Linked DNA regions of Lepisosteus oculatus. The protein of the gene in region 2 binds, or shares a complex with, the protein of the main gene of each other region. Links are inferred from orthologs where the notes say so. Each region holds a gene or a part of one and is shown on either strand. Other genes may lie near its edges. The genes, in order: cell cycle control protein 50A and atp8b1.

Evidence for each region.
Region 1: the proteins of atp8b1 (region 2) and cell cycle control protein 50A are in contact, whole or in part, in a cryo-EM structure (PDB 7VGI), measured with the Homo sapiens proteins. The link is inferred for Lepisosteus oculatus from reciprocal best matches to the Homo sapiens genes ATP8B1 and TMEM30A. Residues at the interface, in NP_001361314.1 of Homo sapiens: Thr138, His359, Trp362, Glu363, Val366, Ser369, Ser370, Trp371, Tyr372, Leu373, Tyr374, Asp375, Gly376, Arg384, Ile388, Phe418, Asn420, Trp421, Asp422, Leu423, Tyr426, Lys430, Asp431, Thr432, Pro433, His939, Trp942, Arg946, Tyr968, Phe971; in NP_060717.1 of Homo sapiens: Lys24, Thr25, Arg26, Arg27, Pro28, Asn30, Phe33, Lys34, Gln35, Gln36, Arg37, Leu38, Pro39, Ala40, Trp41, Gln42, Pro43, Ile44, Leu45, Thr46, Ala47, Val50, Phe54, Ile57, Phe61, Ile64, Ile68, Ile75, Phe119, Tyr121.

The regions. Positions count from the first base shown.
Region 1 is NC_090697.1:9,267,395-9,275,530, reverse strand, and holds the start of cell cycle control protein 50A, read right to left. Parts: upstream 3,135-8,136; 5' UTR 2,892-3,134; coding exon 2,643-2,891; intron 1,618-2,642; coding exon 1,498-1,617; intron 1-1,497. UniProt on the Homo sapiens protein: Accessory component of a P4-ATPase flippase complex which catalyzes the hydrolysis of ATP coupled to the transport of aminophospholipids from the outer to the inner leaflet of various membranes and ensures the maintenance of asymmetric distribution of phospholipids.
Region 2 is NC_090698.1:66,524,632-66,532,295, forward strand, and holds the start of atp8b1 (phospholipid-transporting ATPase IC), read right to left. Parts: upstream 3,112-7,664; 5' UTR 2,821-3,111; intron 1-2,820. Other genes in the region: taf1c (TATA box-binding protein-associated factor, RNA polymerase I, subunit C), read left to right, coding at 6,781-6,933. UniProt on the Homo sapiens protein: Catalytic component of a P4-ATPase flippase complex which catalyzes the hydrolysis of ATP coupled to the transport of phospholipids, in particular phosphatidylcholines (PC), from the outer to the inner leaflet of the plasma membrane.

The DNA.
Region 1 (8,136 bases), on a different chromosome or scaffold from region 2:
GCTTCTTGCGGTATTTGGGTTTAGCAAACACATAAATATTAAAAAGTACCAAGCTTATGTATAATTAAAAGCTGTCACAGATGATGCATCTTCCAGCAGGCTTGACTCATTAATCTCACTGTGACTGGGTTTCCAATAAAAATACTCTGCATTAAGACAGAATGAAAAACTGAAAAGAAAGAAAACTTTTGGGCTCCTAGAATGCACTATTTTCACATACAGCTAATAATTACACGACTGGGTTAATTTCAACCAATGTAAAATTCAAAGGTGAATGTTTTTCATGAATCAAACAAAAGTCATCCATTTGTGTCTCAGGTGGATCTTGTGCGCATCACTTCCAGACCTAAAATTCCATTGCATGAATTATTCATTGAGAAATAACTCTGATTCATGAGTGCTGCTGGGCTTTGGACATTGTGAGCATGGTTAATAGCAGCGCAAGCAGATGAGAATCTGGAAGCTCATCTGAAAAGGCACCTCAGATGCTGTCCGAACAATTGACATTTAATCACTAAATGTAAGCCAATACATATTCTGACAGGACATACGTTTTACACATATTCCAGCCAACTACTAGTAATTATTCTCTCAGTGCTCATGCACAGGAATTCCCTAAGGAGAAATTAGTTATTTCTCAAAAAATATACCAATTTAAGGGTGACACAGCAGTTCAGCAGTTAGCACTGTTGCCTTGCACTGCTGGAGCTTGGGTTCGACAAGATCTGTGTGGAGTTTGCATGTTCCCCACATGTATGTTACAGGTTTTCTCTGGGTGCTCCAGTTTCCTCCTACAGTTCAAACACATACTTGGGCCTGGTGTGAGCATGTGTCTATGTCTGCCTGCCATTGACTGGTGTCCCATCCAGAGTGTATCCCACCTTGCTCCCCCACGACACCGAACCGGACACAGCGGTTAGAAAATGGATGGAAAAGATCTGTAAAATGGCGCCGACAGGGAAGGCTGCCGTCCTGCGAGCTCCCATTCATCCTTGTCTATTTCTTATTTGTTTTGTTTTTCGTACTGCTAACTGCACATACTGTTTGCTCGGTGATTAGATATGACCGACAAACACTTATAGACATAAGTTTGAATATTGGCACAGTTCAGCATACTGCACTACCTGGACATAATATATTGCATACACCATGGACACATAGCAGCTCTATTCATATTGAGGTTTATTCCGTTACTAGTACATTATTATCTATTATCAGGTAACCTTATTTTTGTAACCTTAATTTTGTGATTTTTGTGATTCTTGAAATATTTCATTGCCAGCAATTATTGTTGTGCATTTGATAAATAAACTTTGATTTGATGTGGGTGGATATTAGTTTGCATCTCATAATATTATAATTGTCCCATCCAGGGTCTTTCAGACTTCATATCTCGTCTGCCAGCGCAGGCTCTGGCTCAACATGACTCTGTACTGGACTAAGTGTAATGGATGAAGTTACAGTTACTCTAAAACTTACACATCACTTCGGTCTTACCTCAAAGGGCTGGTCCAGTGTAAAAGGGACAGAGCACATACAAGGCTTTGTGCTGTTCCAGCTGTACGTCTGAGAACAGTTGAAGCAGGGACTAGACATGTCAATGCCAGTGTAATCAATCTGGAATATAGAAGGCACAGCTATTACTAGGGGATAATCAATCAGCTCTTAAGAGACAAGAAACTGGTTTACGTACTTGCAAGAATTCAATATGGAACAAAACCAGCTGTAATCACTTACAATAAGATCAGTATAACAATATTTTAGCATTGTTCACAATAATGAAGAGATTAAATGGACAAAAGGATTTGAAATTACACTTCTAAAGTATGCCTTTAAGAGAAGACAATCAGAGTGCAGTAATACACACAGCTCCACGTTCATTCTTCTGCAGAGCTGAAAGACATACAGAACTTGTTTTGTTACTGTAACCCACAGCATAAACCGTATGCCTAAAGTCTACACATGCCTGCAAACCAAATACTGTACCTGCTTTAACTATTTTAAATGCAAGGAAGGCACTGAACATAATGGCATTCTCGGCATTCTCGGATTGAACATAATGGCATTCTTTTACACGGACGAATGAGCCAACAGAAATTCAATTACCTTTGCATATGCCTTCTATGTTAAGATCAAATATTTACTTAACCTCACGAAAACTACCGTGGCAATACATCAGAGTGCAAACTGCACTAAATATACACCGGTCATACTGAAAGAGCAAAACTGATGTCCCTATACTGAACACACTTCGGCGCTTAATTCTGAAGAATCAACAGTGTTTAGAGTATGGCCATGAACGTTGCAACATTGAGTGCTAGTGCATTTCAACACACCAGAGACGCAGAAATACGTTTTCACACCCTTCATCATACCTAACAAAAAAAATCACTACATCGAGGTTGGGCGAATGCAAAAAAATACTGAGTTATATACAGTAATAAAAGTTCATTACTGAATAACACTGTAGAAGACTGGTGCCGAGACGATAATGTGTTGATATCCGAGTGTACACAGAACCGCAGGCTGTAGTGTATCATTCAGAGACCTGCAGCCCCGAAACCGCTACAGGTGATTCGCAGTACCCCCAAGACACCACGCAGTTACCCCTTAATACTGTGCTCATGCCAACACCGCCGTACCTCGAATTCTTTGATGTTGTTCGAAGTGACGAAGAGCCCGATGCCGATGGGGATGAAGATGAGACCAATGACGAAGAAAGCGGGCAGCACCGTGCCCGCGGTGAGGATGGGCTGCCAAGCGGGCAGCCTTTGCTGTTTGAAGGCTGTGTTGTCCGGCTTCTTGCTCTTGATAGCCCCACCGCCGCCAGGCCCGGAGGCCCCGGAGTGGTGACCGTCTTCCTCCTTTGCGTTATAGCTAGACGCCATCATGGCTAATATCCCGTTTCGCTGCACCACCAACACAGAAACCCGGAGAGAAGAATTACGAGGACGAGAGGCTGCGATCGGTGAAACACCGGCGCCCTAAACTACATGTATGTAGTTCGTTACGATGAAAAATTATATCAATAACGATACTCCTTTAACCTTTAAATTCTACCCCCCCATCAAGGAAAAGCAGCAGCGACTAAATAAAACCAGGAAGCTTCTAAATCCCAAACACGTAACGTGCGTGATGACGTCTGTTAATCGCAGAGCGGACGCGCGATGTTCCTATGGGTGGTATTGGGGAAACTGAGAGTTAATCGCGCTAAAAACACTTTAGGTTTGTGTGTTTAATGTGTTCTACAACAATTTATTTTCTTAAGATAAATTTAGTAATAGAGTGCATGCAAATTTCTTATTGTCTCTCACACAGACTTTATTTGACTCTTATGTTTTTTCTTATGCAGAGCGCCAAAGCAATAATGCATCTTTGCGCTTTATGAAGTTACCAGTTTATGGCACATTGTGCAATTCCTTATTCGCCTCGGGCGCTGGCAATCCGCCATTCAGCTTGTCGCTAAAGCGTTTAAGGAATACATCTGTGTGATAAAATGTCATTTTGCGACTGTGATCGATGCAAGAGTAGCAAAAAAAAATCCCAGGATAAAGTTCTTCCGTGCTTTCTCCTCTGGTACAGTATTATACATTATGAATAAACCTTTCATGCCGTGTATTTGAATCAGGTCCCTTTTACTGTTTGAGATTACAGAGGTTCTGTGCGTTTCAGTCAGTCAGTGTAGAACAATCCTTAAAGCTCGAGGTTGTGTCTGATTTATCTGCACTAATTCCAGAGCAAAAATACGCAATTCTTGTAACGCAGTGAACAATACTGTACAGATAGTACTGCGAGTGCGAATTAAGTCTTGCTAGTGCATTACATAATTTTAAAGTAACAGTAAAGTCAATCTAAACTTTTTTATTGCTTTGCCACACTGTCAAGATTGAAATGTTGTGTCAAGATAACCACCTTATTTGTTTTTCATAAGTGGCCTCTTCAAGTTCAGAATTTCACAGTTCATGTGTTCGCTTGAATTTGTCAATGGAAATGGAAATTTTGAGTTTCCATTAAATCTTCTACAGTGTTTGATGATCCTCCTATTTTGGTAATATCTGCAGTCATCTACAGTTTACTAACTGCAGGGTAGGAGTGTGCAGTAAGTGGATAGAGTTTTGGACTTGAACTGGTTGTTGGTTCAGATCCCCGGGAGAGACACTGCTGCTGTACCTTTGAGATTAATAATAATAATTAATTTCTGGACACTCCACTCAAAGTGGTTTACAGATAATGGGGACTCCCCTCCACCACCACCAATGTGCAGCCCCACCTGGATGATGTGATGACAGCCATTGTGCACCAGTACACTCACCACACATCAGCTATCAGTGGGGAGGAGAGCAGAGTGATGGAGCCAGTTCAGAGATCAGGTTTATTAGGAGGAAATGTGGATAGGACACCAGGGTAACACCCCTACTCTTTTTTGAGAAACGCCATGGGATTTTTAATGACCACAGAGAGTCAGGACCTCAGTTTAACGTCTCATCTGAAGGACGGCGACTTTTTACAGTATAGTGTCCCCGTCACTATATTGGGGCATTAGGACCCACATAGACCGCAGGTGACACTAACACCTCTTTCGGCAGCAACCTTAGTTTTTCCCAGGAGGTCTCCCATCCAGGTACTGATCAGGCTCACACCTGCTGAGCTTCAGTGGGCTGCCAGTTGTGAGTTGAGTGGTGATATGGCTGCTGGCTAGATTGTTCCAGCTGTATATAGTGGTGCAAATATAAGTCTCAGGATAAACGCATCACCCAAAAACATCAATATAAACTCGATTACAATTATATCAACATATGTATAGAGTATATAGTGTAAATAGAAATGGTCCTCAAACAAGTTAAAGAAAATAATTGTTAAAAATACTGAGACATACCAATTGGATCCAGGGACCCCACTGAAAACATATTCTACTGGCATGGCAATAATCAGGAACAGGTAAAGGTTTTGACTGTGGAGCCTCCTTCAGGTGTCGTTTTTTTACCTTTCAGCGTGGAATCAACCTCTGCATGTTCCTTCACTGCCTACGCATGCGGACGCAGCTCTCCACTTGAACTTCATGGTAATAATCACGGGATGGGATGAGTACCATCGGGTCATGGCAATCCTATGGATAGTTCCCCTGTCACTATCCACAGTTTTCATGGCAGGATACAGAAGTAGATTCCAGGCCTTTCTTCCACACAGATAGCGCGAGCGTTGTTGCCGTTGTCACGGAAACGTGATCCTCCGCCGCCAACACCACCCCACCCTGCTGCTGCCCAGTATGGGTTATTAGACAACCTGGCGCCCGACTTGGGACACGAACCCACTACCCTGAGATAGATAGATAATACTTTATTAATCCCGTAGGGAAATTGATGTGTTACAGCAGTCCAGACCAAGACAAGCAAAACAGACATCAGAATAGTTATAAAACAAAAGACAAACAAAATAAATAAATACATAGGTGAATTAGATTAGGGGGTCTCATGCTCTACCCACAGAGCTAGCTGGGGCTCTGGTAATAATCATACTGGCATGATATGGTTTCAGGTCTGCTAAAATATTCCAGACCATGCCTTTCTGGAATCTTCCATGCTGATCTGTGTTCTCTAATGAAGACTTTCTACACCAGCGGTTCTCCTTTCTGGCCCTGGGGGACATCTCCGCCCTTGGGGTTTTGCTCCGCCTGGTTGTTGGAGTGATTGCTCCATCTTAATCCCAGTTTTCATTCAAGACCTATTTAAAATTTGCGTTCAGCTCTCAAAAAGGCGAATAGGAATTTGTAATTGGCTCCAGCCTTATACTAATTAGTGAGTTCCAGAAGTGACCTCATTTCAAGTGTGTTTCCTTGAAATATGACTGATTGGACAAGGAAAAACTCTCAGTTCATGAAGGAGTGTTTTGTATATTGATATATTATCATTCCCATGTGCATCTGTTCATTATAAAACAGTCACCTATTCAAGCTTGCATATTACTTTATGTATATATAAGCTTTTTAGTTAGAAATAAGGGAACTTACTCAGCAAGTTCAGGAGAGATTTCATAAAGTTTTGTAGAATGTTAGAAATAATACACTGAAGACTTTAGTGTTTTTGAAGCCGAGGCCTAAACAAGCAAGCAAATCAGTTACTGGCACCAGTTTGCACTGGTGTTAACCCAGCTGAAGCTGAAACCACAGGACCAGAACCGATAACCACTGGTCTATACTGTTAAAGCATATGTGAGAAAAAAGGAGAACCAACAATAATAGAGAAACCAGGGTCAGTGTGTTGTGTTTGACATGGTTACTTGACAGGAAAACCATAATTTAAGGAGATTTCATCACCTGGCAGCAGAGGCCCTTGCTGGAAGGTTACTGTTGCTGACAACATGAAAAATCACAGCCTAATCAGCCTCCATCATTTTTGTTTACAGTGGAACAAGCCTTGCACGTCAACGTTCAGAGTTTAGAGTTGAATTCTTCGAGCACCACGCATTTGCAACCTGACATGCAGTCTCTTGGGGGACAATCGTAGTTTTCCTTAAGTTGTAATGATCTAAAGTGAAACAGGAGGAGGCTTAGACACCTGTGGTCAATTGATCCATTGTCGTACCACCCAGAATTAGGGGGAGAAGGAGGCCTCAGGCTGTATTTCTCATTGTAGCTGACATCACCGAGCCTGTGACGAGCGCGGCTCTGCCCCTGCCAGAATTTGATCATGGTCGCTAACAGGCAACGCCAGCTTCAGGGCCTCACGGTCACCGCCCGCCAGAGAGCAGTGAATTCTGCCTGGAAGAAAGGTCAGATTCCAGGGGTACCCAGGCTCCAAGAAGGTGATGTCACCTTCTGTAACAGGCTCAGTGCTGGTAATGAGTCCTGCTCCACACTCACTAAAGGCATTAGTGACATGGAGGATCCACATTCGGTCCAGTTTAGAAGCCACCAATAGACCATCAGAGCTCGTTAGACTGCAGACACAGGGAGATAAACAGCAACCTGACAAAGTGCCTCACAAAAATGTAGTATCATGCGTCTCAGGGTAAAAAGTCCATACTGGTGCCAAAGTTGCTCATTAAGACAGAAATTATTCTTATTTCTGTCTGCATCATTAAGCAGACTAGAGAGCACATACCACCCCCTTCGATCACACACCAGACTATTGCAGGGATTATGCCCCCCCCCCCACAGCAACACAGTTTCCCATTGATACAGCTGGGTGGACCGGAGCAGGCAGGTGATTTGATCAAGGACATAACAGCAGTGTCTGCAGTGTGGACTTGAACCAACCAACCTAGTCACCAACCATGAGCCCAAAGGCTTACCCTGTGCACAGCTCAGCCCCATGAATCCCAGGGTTGTTGACAAGGATATCTGAACGGTATCTAGTGAAATGTGCTCTGCCAAAAGCCAGGAGAACCAGCTCTGCAACTGAACACTTTATATCAGGAGACCAGCACTGGTTGTGTTGAGCCCAAATCCGGTTCATCCTTCATCGTTCTATTGATTGGGAGTCCTGGTGAGGTATATATTAATTACACAAGTAAAAATGTTTTCAATAAAGGGACTTTGGTAATTATGGGTTGAAGGTTTCAGGTTCGTCAGATTTTGTTTCAGTAAATCACTTAATTCACCCCACAAAAAAAAACTAAATGTTTTTTTTAGTTGTTCTTAAATTTAAGTTTTGTAAATTTTCAAAAGTTACAATTTAATAAGGATCTATACCACAACCCTGTACTGGATAAGACTAATAAAAAATATAGATTGATATTTTATGAATTAAGACCTGTCCAGAGATAGAGTTGGAGATAAATATATGGCATTGCTGCAGAGCAGGTTTATTATATGACTTATGTATATTTTGTTCTTAACATACTGTACAAGTCATTAATCTGATATGGAAACACTCTAAAAAGGAAGAAAATAAAAGTTCTAATTAGATTAAAATTAAAATACAGCTACATATTTGTCTTCCATTGAAGACAGTGGAATGTGTGCATGAATACCACACAAATGCATGTCTCTCTCCCCACACATACACAGACAATCCATTACTGTGGAACTGTTTGACTCTGCTTGCATCCAATAGCATTATTGGAGTATGATGGTTAATATTGGGTCTTTACACTTATGTACCTTAAATAAAAAATGATCCTAGATACAAGGTACTG
Region 2 (7,664 bases):
ATGTACCAAAGGCATTTCTTACTAATTGGATTTTTAGCACTTTAAATGCTAAAACTAGAATATATGTATTTTCTAGTATTGAATGCCCCACTAACCAAATTGGGGCTCTGTAGTCTGTTAAAAATACAAGATTTAGATAAAAACGACATTCTTTTTTACCAAGGTATTTTTTTTTTACTGTAGGACACAATGGGAAAAAAAATGTTATCAACTAGAATATGAGACTCATAGGTTAGCTGCCATAGTAACAGTAAATAATTTGATACATTTCTCGAAGGACATTGATTAAGAATCGATAAAACAGTGCTGGTCTCTTGAAAGTTCGTCACCATATCCTACTTTCTGTCAGTAACATGAACAAGACATCCACTTAAATAGAGCTGAAGACACAGACAAGTGCAATACCTAAAGCATTCCTGAACAGCTCCAGTAACATTTGTTTGAGATCATTCGTTTTTTGGATTCCAACACGAAGAAGTAGACGATGTGTTCTTCAAGTTGTTTTTAAAGAAAGGTGATCCTTAAATATAGGTAAAAAAAACTTGAACACTCTTACACTACAGCCTAATCATAGAAAGTATTGTTCTTTTTACAACACATGGCAAACTATTTTGCAATGATGATCTTATCAACATGTTATTCTCAAAACGTGAGTAGCATCAGAATAATCTTAGTATCTATACTTTACTTAAGTATTTAACTTACATAAGAAACGCCTACTTAACTATTGAAAACATCAGATCAGTAAAAAGCAGAATCGCAGAATTACACCCGCTTCCCTCAACAAATGAACATTCAAAACACTACCATTAAGGGTAAAAATACTTCCAGATGTTTTTTTTTTAATTCACCACATAGAATACTGAAGGAAAAAGTGAAATTCATCAAATAAATACGAAAATGTCTTTGATGACATCCTATATTGGATCACAGACCGTCCCATAGCATCGTTATGGGAAATGTCCAGTAAAGAAACTAGCATTTACAGGACTAGAGAGTAAAACGTCTGGAGTTAATTACAAACCCTGTAGGCTTCTATTTATCTGTACAATTAAACTGAATGTTCAGAGCCGAGATGGAGGGTTTCCTACTTGGGAACAGTATTATAGAAAACAGTCAATAAAGGATTTACTAACGAGAAACTGCCTTACAAACAAAAAAGCAGAATTACAGGTCCTCACGCAGTGTTGTCTCGACCTCAGATTATTTTCTTAGTAATGGCAAATACTACTATGGATCGGCATTCCATATATACAGTATATGTTAACAATTGAAGCATTTTATTTACTGTCTTGCCGTTTCTGATTCACAATTTCTACAATAATACGAAGATATTTAGTAACAACTCGCATCAATAAAAAACTACTTATAAAAGGAGACGTTTCAGCCAGGAGTGAGGTAGCGCAGGGCTCAGTGGTTGAGATGCTGATATTTCTGATTTTCAAGCTTTTTTTCTCCAGAAATGACACCGACCTCAACATCATCAATAAACTAGTCATATTTCAAGATACACTGATTCAGGGCAAGCCTGAACCAGCACTCTTTATCAGCGACAGAAGGGATCCAAAAGGGTTAATGCGGTATCCAAATTAAGAAGTTCAAGTAATTACATCAGAAAACAGCGTTAAATACTGCGTTAAACACCTGTGATGAACGGGGCGTTCTACAATAACACGACGACGACGTATCAGTTATAACATCTAAGTAGCGGGGAGAGTGAATACAAAGGGCTGAACAATTCAAGATAATTTATACAGCCAATACTGGTGATGTTAAATAAAGCTCTATATTACACCCAAATGCAGTAAATTTCCACTCCTAGAGTAGTAGGACTAATAAAAACAAGATTCTGATTGGCGTTTCATCCAATCACGATTTGATAGGCGTGTCGTCCCGACTGAGTCTGACATAAACCTTTTCCTCAGCCTCCAAACTGGAAAACAACCGATGTCAAATAACCGTGAATTCTGAATCTCAGAGATCACCCACGAAGGCTCGTTATTACGCCCATCAATAAAGAAGGTTTTACCAACTGTTCTCCACTCCTCCGCAATAACCTTCGCGTTGTTAACAATAGTGGCTTACATCTGTTCTAACGGTGAAATATTTCCCCAGTCAGCCCCTGACATCCAGTAGATCAGCTAAAAAAATACAATTTTTTCAATTTCTCCGCAAGTAAAGGGGAGGGTTCATTTACCATACCGATCATAAACATCTTTACAGTATGAAAAAAGGATTGCACGAGCTAATTAATATCGCTATGAAGCAAATGAAATCCAACAGCACAGAGAGCTACCATTTTTTCACATCATAAATTAATATATATACACATCCAGACTAAAAGAATTTCTAAATTCTACTTATTTCCAGCGATCACTGACTTAGTCAAACATCCAGGTAAAACGATGTGCTTACAAAGTGAGAAGCCATAATCTCGCGTATTTACTTCTCAATAAAAAGAATACTAAGTGTTTACGTTAACAAGTGGGAATATCAGCTCTAATGGGTTTTTTAAAACAAAAAACTTTTTTTGAATCATTAAAACTTTCCGACGTCAATTCAGTCTCTTTAGATATCATGCAAGCGGAATGTAAGGACGTTGTATGCAAAATATTAATATATTCCCAAGACTTTAGTTTTTTTTTATGAGTTATATCGCAAGTTGTAAAACTGCTCAAAACTTCTAAAATCATGCGATAGAAAACGCCTACATACGTTGAGGGAAACACGCTTAACTCAAACTCTCAGGTAAGAGCCAACCTGAAGAGCAATCATGAGCGCAGGGATGCGATTAAAACGAGACTTGAAAAAAACACTTACCAAATTCCTTTATATTTCGGTAGTTTGTTTCTTTTCTTCTTCTTTTTTTACGCTTCTTTTCGCCTTTCAACCCGTTGAACCATGTTAACGAGCAAGTCGTTTCCCCGTCACAAGCTAAGCGCAGGTTTCGGCTCACTCCCTTTCGCAAGCGTAATAATGGCTACCTTGTTCAGAAACTAGATAAACGGGTCGGCCGGGTTTTTGTTGTGTGGTAAACCTTTCGAATTAGGAGCAAACGACTTGAGACATTTTAGTCCTGGGCGAACACAAACATTTCTTTCTAACCGGTAGAAAAGGAAGAGTTACGGTCACGTGGCTGGGCAGGTAAAGGTGAGATAGGGCTCTATCATCCCATTCATAGCCAAATTGGAACAGTATTTGCATGAAGTGAAATTAGGACGTAACAAAACAGGGTTTGCACGGATACGAAACATAATATTCGTATATGTCTTTGACAAGTAGAGGTCATCTTTAAAAATGCAAAGTGTTTCGATTTTTTTACACTGCGTATAGTATTAATTTCGTCCCTCCTTTTTGAATCTGTACCTCTTAATTTAGTGACTTGCTAGATTATTTTACGTTTGTTTTAGTAACAGGTGGAGCATAACCGAAGAACGCAGCGTTTTCCCCTTATGATCTGCTATTGGTCCCCATTGATCATTTTTTATTTTATTTTATGCAGCTTTATAGCCAAAGATAATCCTCAGAATCATGAATTCACTTGCTCCTGCTGAGCTCCCAGTTGTAGGTTGTTTGATTTTGCATTTGTCGGTAAGTGTATAACAACATATGCTTCCTAAATTACAAATTGTTATGTGGTCACATGTACATTCTGCTGTTCTGGGTGACTTTCAGTCTGAAAAAGGTTACTTTTTTGGGAGCTGGGACATTGAGTTCCCTGTATAGGAAGGAGAAGCTTGTATACAATTAATTAAGACAATTAAAGGTTGTGTAGTTATGGAACAGGTTACCCAGCCATGGTGTTGAAGCTGATATACCTTGGTTACTTTTAAGAAATGTCTTAACAAGTTCCTTGGCTCAATTAACTTCTAGCTACCAAATAGGTTAGATGGGTCACCTAGTCTCCTCTCTTTTGTAACCACACATACATTCTCATGTTTAAGGTAAAATAATAACAATTCCTTGCATTTACAGTATATGGCATGTTTTTTAATCCCTGAGGATCTCACAACTAGACATTGAATGAGATCCACTTCATGTACCAATGTAACACAGCACTGATGTAGGGGACAGGCAGCAGTCTACATGAGCCAGTACACAGCAGATCCGTTAGTGAAGAAATGCTTCAGCAATTGACCGAAGCCAGCAAGGCAACTTTAGAAAGGCCAGATTGAACACGCCCAGTGTGTAATGTGGCCTGAACACCAGGATTAGTATCTTTTCTCTATCATTAAGAGCCTTAGTGACCAAGTAGTCAGGACTTTGGATTTATGTACCATTCATACTGGGGTCCGGCTTGGAAAGAGTGCCACCTACTGGTCCAACATCGCCACTTACAGCAGCAACCTGTTATCCCACTACTGACCCAGCTAGATGCTTAACTTCATAGATCTGTGGCAGCTTGTGTGTCACCATATTTTAAATCAATATTACGATTCTAAAGTACCTTACAAAGAAAAGGAGGGCTTGATAATACTGTTACAAACTTGTCACAAATTTGTTACAAACAGTTTTATCAATCCTCCTATCTTTCTCATTCACTTAAAAGGTGGATTGATTTAAAGAACATGTGAGTCTCCTGCTCACATCAATTGATGATTCTTTGGAACATTTAAAGATTATTTTATTAAACCCTGTGACTCTCCATTCAGTGAATGGTTATTTATTGTTCTACAGTATATGCTTCAAGTAGATATGTGCACCATTGAATAATAATGAAACAGAACCCATACATTCAGGGCATAAGAGCACAGACCTTGGTAAAACACAGGCACAGGTGTGCCACCTTTATTACTGAAGGAGTAATAAACATAACAGGAGTAATACATAACAGGAAGGACTACAGCAAAAAAAAAAAAACATGTTTTTATTTATCCCTCTATCCTTTCACTGGGCGTAGAAACTCTGAGGGAGAGAAGAGATAAGATAAGATCACTTTATTGGCCATATACAATTTCTGGTATTAGGAATTTGTCTTTTCGCATGCACACACGGAGAGGGAGAGAAGCTGGGGGTCAGAGCACAGGGTCATCCATTTACAAGGCACCCCTAGAGCTAGTTTCTGTTTCCTGTCTCCTGAACAGGAGTCCCCTCGCCCATCCGCCTTCGGCAGGAGCGTCAGAACACGTGACTCGATGGGACAACCTGTTTGTGTTACTATCTGCCCCCTTCCTCCCAATCCCATGTCAGAGAGCCGTCGCCCGCCTTGAGTGGAGTTTCCATCTCGCTCTGGGGTCCTGCGGGTGGTCTCAGTGCAGCCCCACACCTGAGGGCTCAGCAGCCGGGTCCCCTCCCACACCGCCGCCAAGGGAGCCCCCAGTTTCTCGCGCTGCTGGCTGAAGCCGGAGCAGCGTGTCTGAAATGTGTGAGCCCTGAAAGTGGTGCCCTGTGCTCCACAGCTAGTGCCTCTCTCTCCGTTAAATTCCTCTCCTCTCCGCCGGTACAGTCGCGCCTCCTCCCTCTAGACTAGGGCAGCGACTGGCCCCATATTCCCCGGACACTGTGAGACAAAGCGGCATTTTAAAAGTGCCCTGACACCGAAATACATCATTGTGTAAACCGACCAATAGACTTTTACTGAATTGACCTTCACGCTTAATTATCAATCAGGGGCAGGGAATAAAATAGTTGTATATGATTCTTTTTTCTCAATAAAGAAGCGTCTATATCTTTTTTTAAAAAAAAATAATTTCAATCCACCCCGTCACCTGCAGAGACCCCTCTTTGAAAGTTGCTATTTGCATTTTCTTCGAATTGGGTCTTCATTGGCAAGGTTTGCCGATCACATTGATGGACCGACAGTGCAAATTACGATTATACTGTAGAACAGATGACCTAAGAAAAACTAATTAAAAAACTACCAGCTGGTGGAACGCATCGAGACAAATCGCCAACATTAAAAAAATGGACAGCTGTCGTTGATCAAATAAAACAGTTCTCCGCTGATACTCTTTACTCCACGACCAAACGAAAAAGAAGAAAAAAAAACAATTTAGTAAAAAGGATTGACGTTTAATTTACACCTTAGGCTACGTTTAAACCCCAGACTCCCAAATGTGGTGGCGCACCTACAGTACGCCTGAAACCGGGTTTAATGAAAGTTTTTTTTTTTTGCACTGGACTCTTGCCGGCTCAAGTTTCGCAGAGGCCAGGGTTATTTGCCTTGACAATAATCGCTGTTTTTTTTTCCAAATTTGGCAACAGCCGGTAACCGACGTACCGGTTAGTGATGGAAACGGTTTTAGTCAGTTCTATGTGTTGGCTGTACATGTCCCAAGATGTATTTGTGTTGTGTAAATGTCTGTAGACCTTTGTATTCGCCGTGTGCGCTTTGGCACCACTGTAACACTGCGGTCATGACAATAAAGCTGTTTGAATTTGAATGTAGTGGCGTCCCCCTTTTCCACTAAGCCTGAAGGGCCTTGGCGAGCTCCTTCTCCTCCGATTGGTTACCGGTCTCATCCAGGGGAAGGGCTCACTCTTTCCTCTCTCCACCCCCCAGTCCCCCCAGTTTGGCGTCAAAACAGACTCCTCCTGCCGCGTTGGCTTCCGTTTTCGGAGCCTTTCGTTTACAGGAACACGTGTGGCGCGTACGCGTTCTTGTTTCGGACTGATGGTGTCGGGAAATTAATTTAACAACCAACCAACAAAAACAAAAAACCCCGTCAGGTTTGTACCTAGTCGTGCAGCGCAGCGCGGAGCGGAAGGGAGACGCGCTCGCCTCGTTGCCCAGTGCTGGGGTTAAACGGGGCCGGTTTGACACATGGGTCGAGCCCAGACATGGCCGGGCGTACGGACAGTGCGTTTCCCCCGATGCTTTTCCCCCAGGCCTACAACACCGGGCCTCCGGGCAGGACCGCTGGCGTCCTGCCGGTTGTAGGCGGCTGGGGGGTCTACGGCCAGATCCGGGGAGTGGACCGTCTTGTGCCGGAGGTGAGTACTTCAGCTCCTGCGCTCGCAGATCGTCAGCAGCTCCTGCGCAGGAACCTGCCGCTTAAGAGCCTCGGATCGTTTTTGCACATGCAAATGCACAAAGAATCGTCTTGTTTTGGTGGGGTGTCGTTTCACCCTGCATGCTCGCCTAAGTGCTTGCTTGAGCAGAATGGGATGTATCGCCTTATTTTGCAAATATTTTGCAATAAGATCATGCAAAACCTTATGTTGCATTATCTGCCAGCTCGCTGGCTGGGAAAAAAAAAACTGTTTTGCCTGACCTAGAATAAAGTTAGTAATTTGATCCATTCGGTTATCTATATACGCGATACAAAAGTGGTATTTCATGACGGTGTTGGGAAGATTTCAAATGACGGGAGGCCGACGGTACATCGTTTCGTAACTTAACTCATTGATCAGGATGTCAACCAGTAGTGTCTTAAAGGCAGCGACGGGCTCGTCTTCAACAACGTGGCCGACAAACTGGTTCCGTACTCCCGCAGTCTTTTTGTTTTCTGTTTTCGTCTGGCAAGGCTGATTTTCAACAAGTCTTGTAGGGTTTGGTGCCTTTTTGAGGATTTTGAATACCTGTCTCGGGTCCCCTCAGAGTTAAGTAAGAGCCCAGAGCATTAGTTTTGGCAGTGTGTCTGCGGAGTTTGAACTCCAATTCTTTCAGCAATCTTTTTTTGGGGCGGAGCGGTGGCTCTGTGGCTAAGGATCTGCGCCTTTGC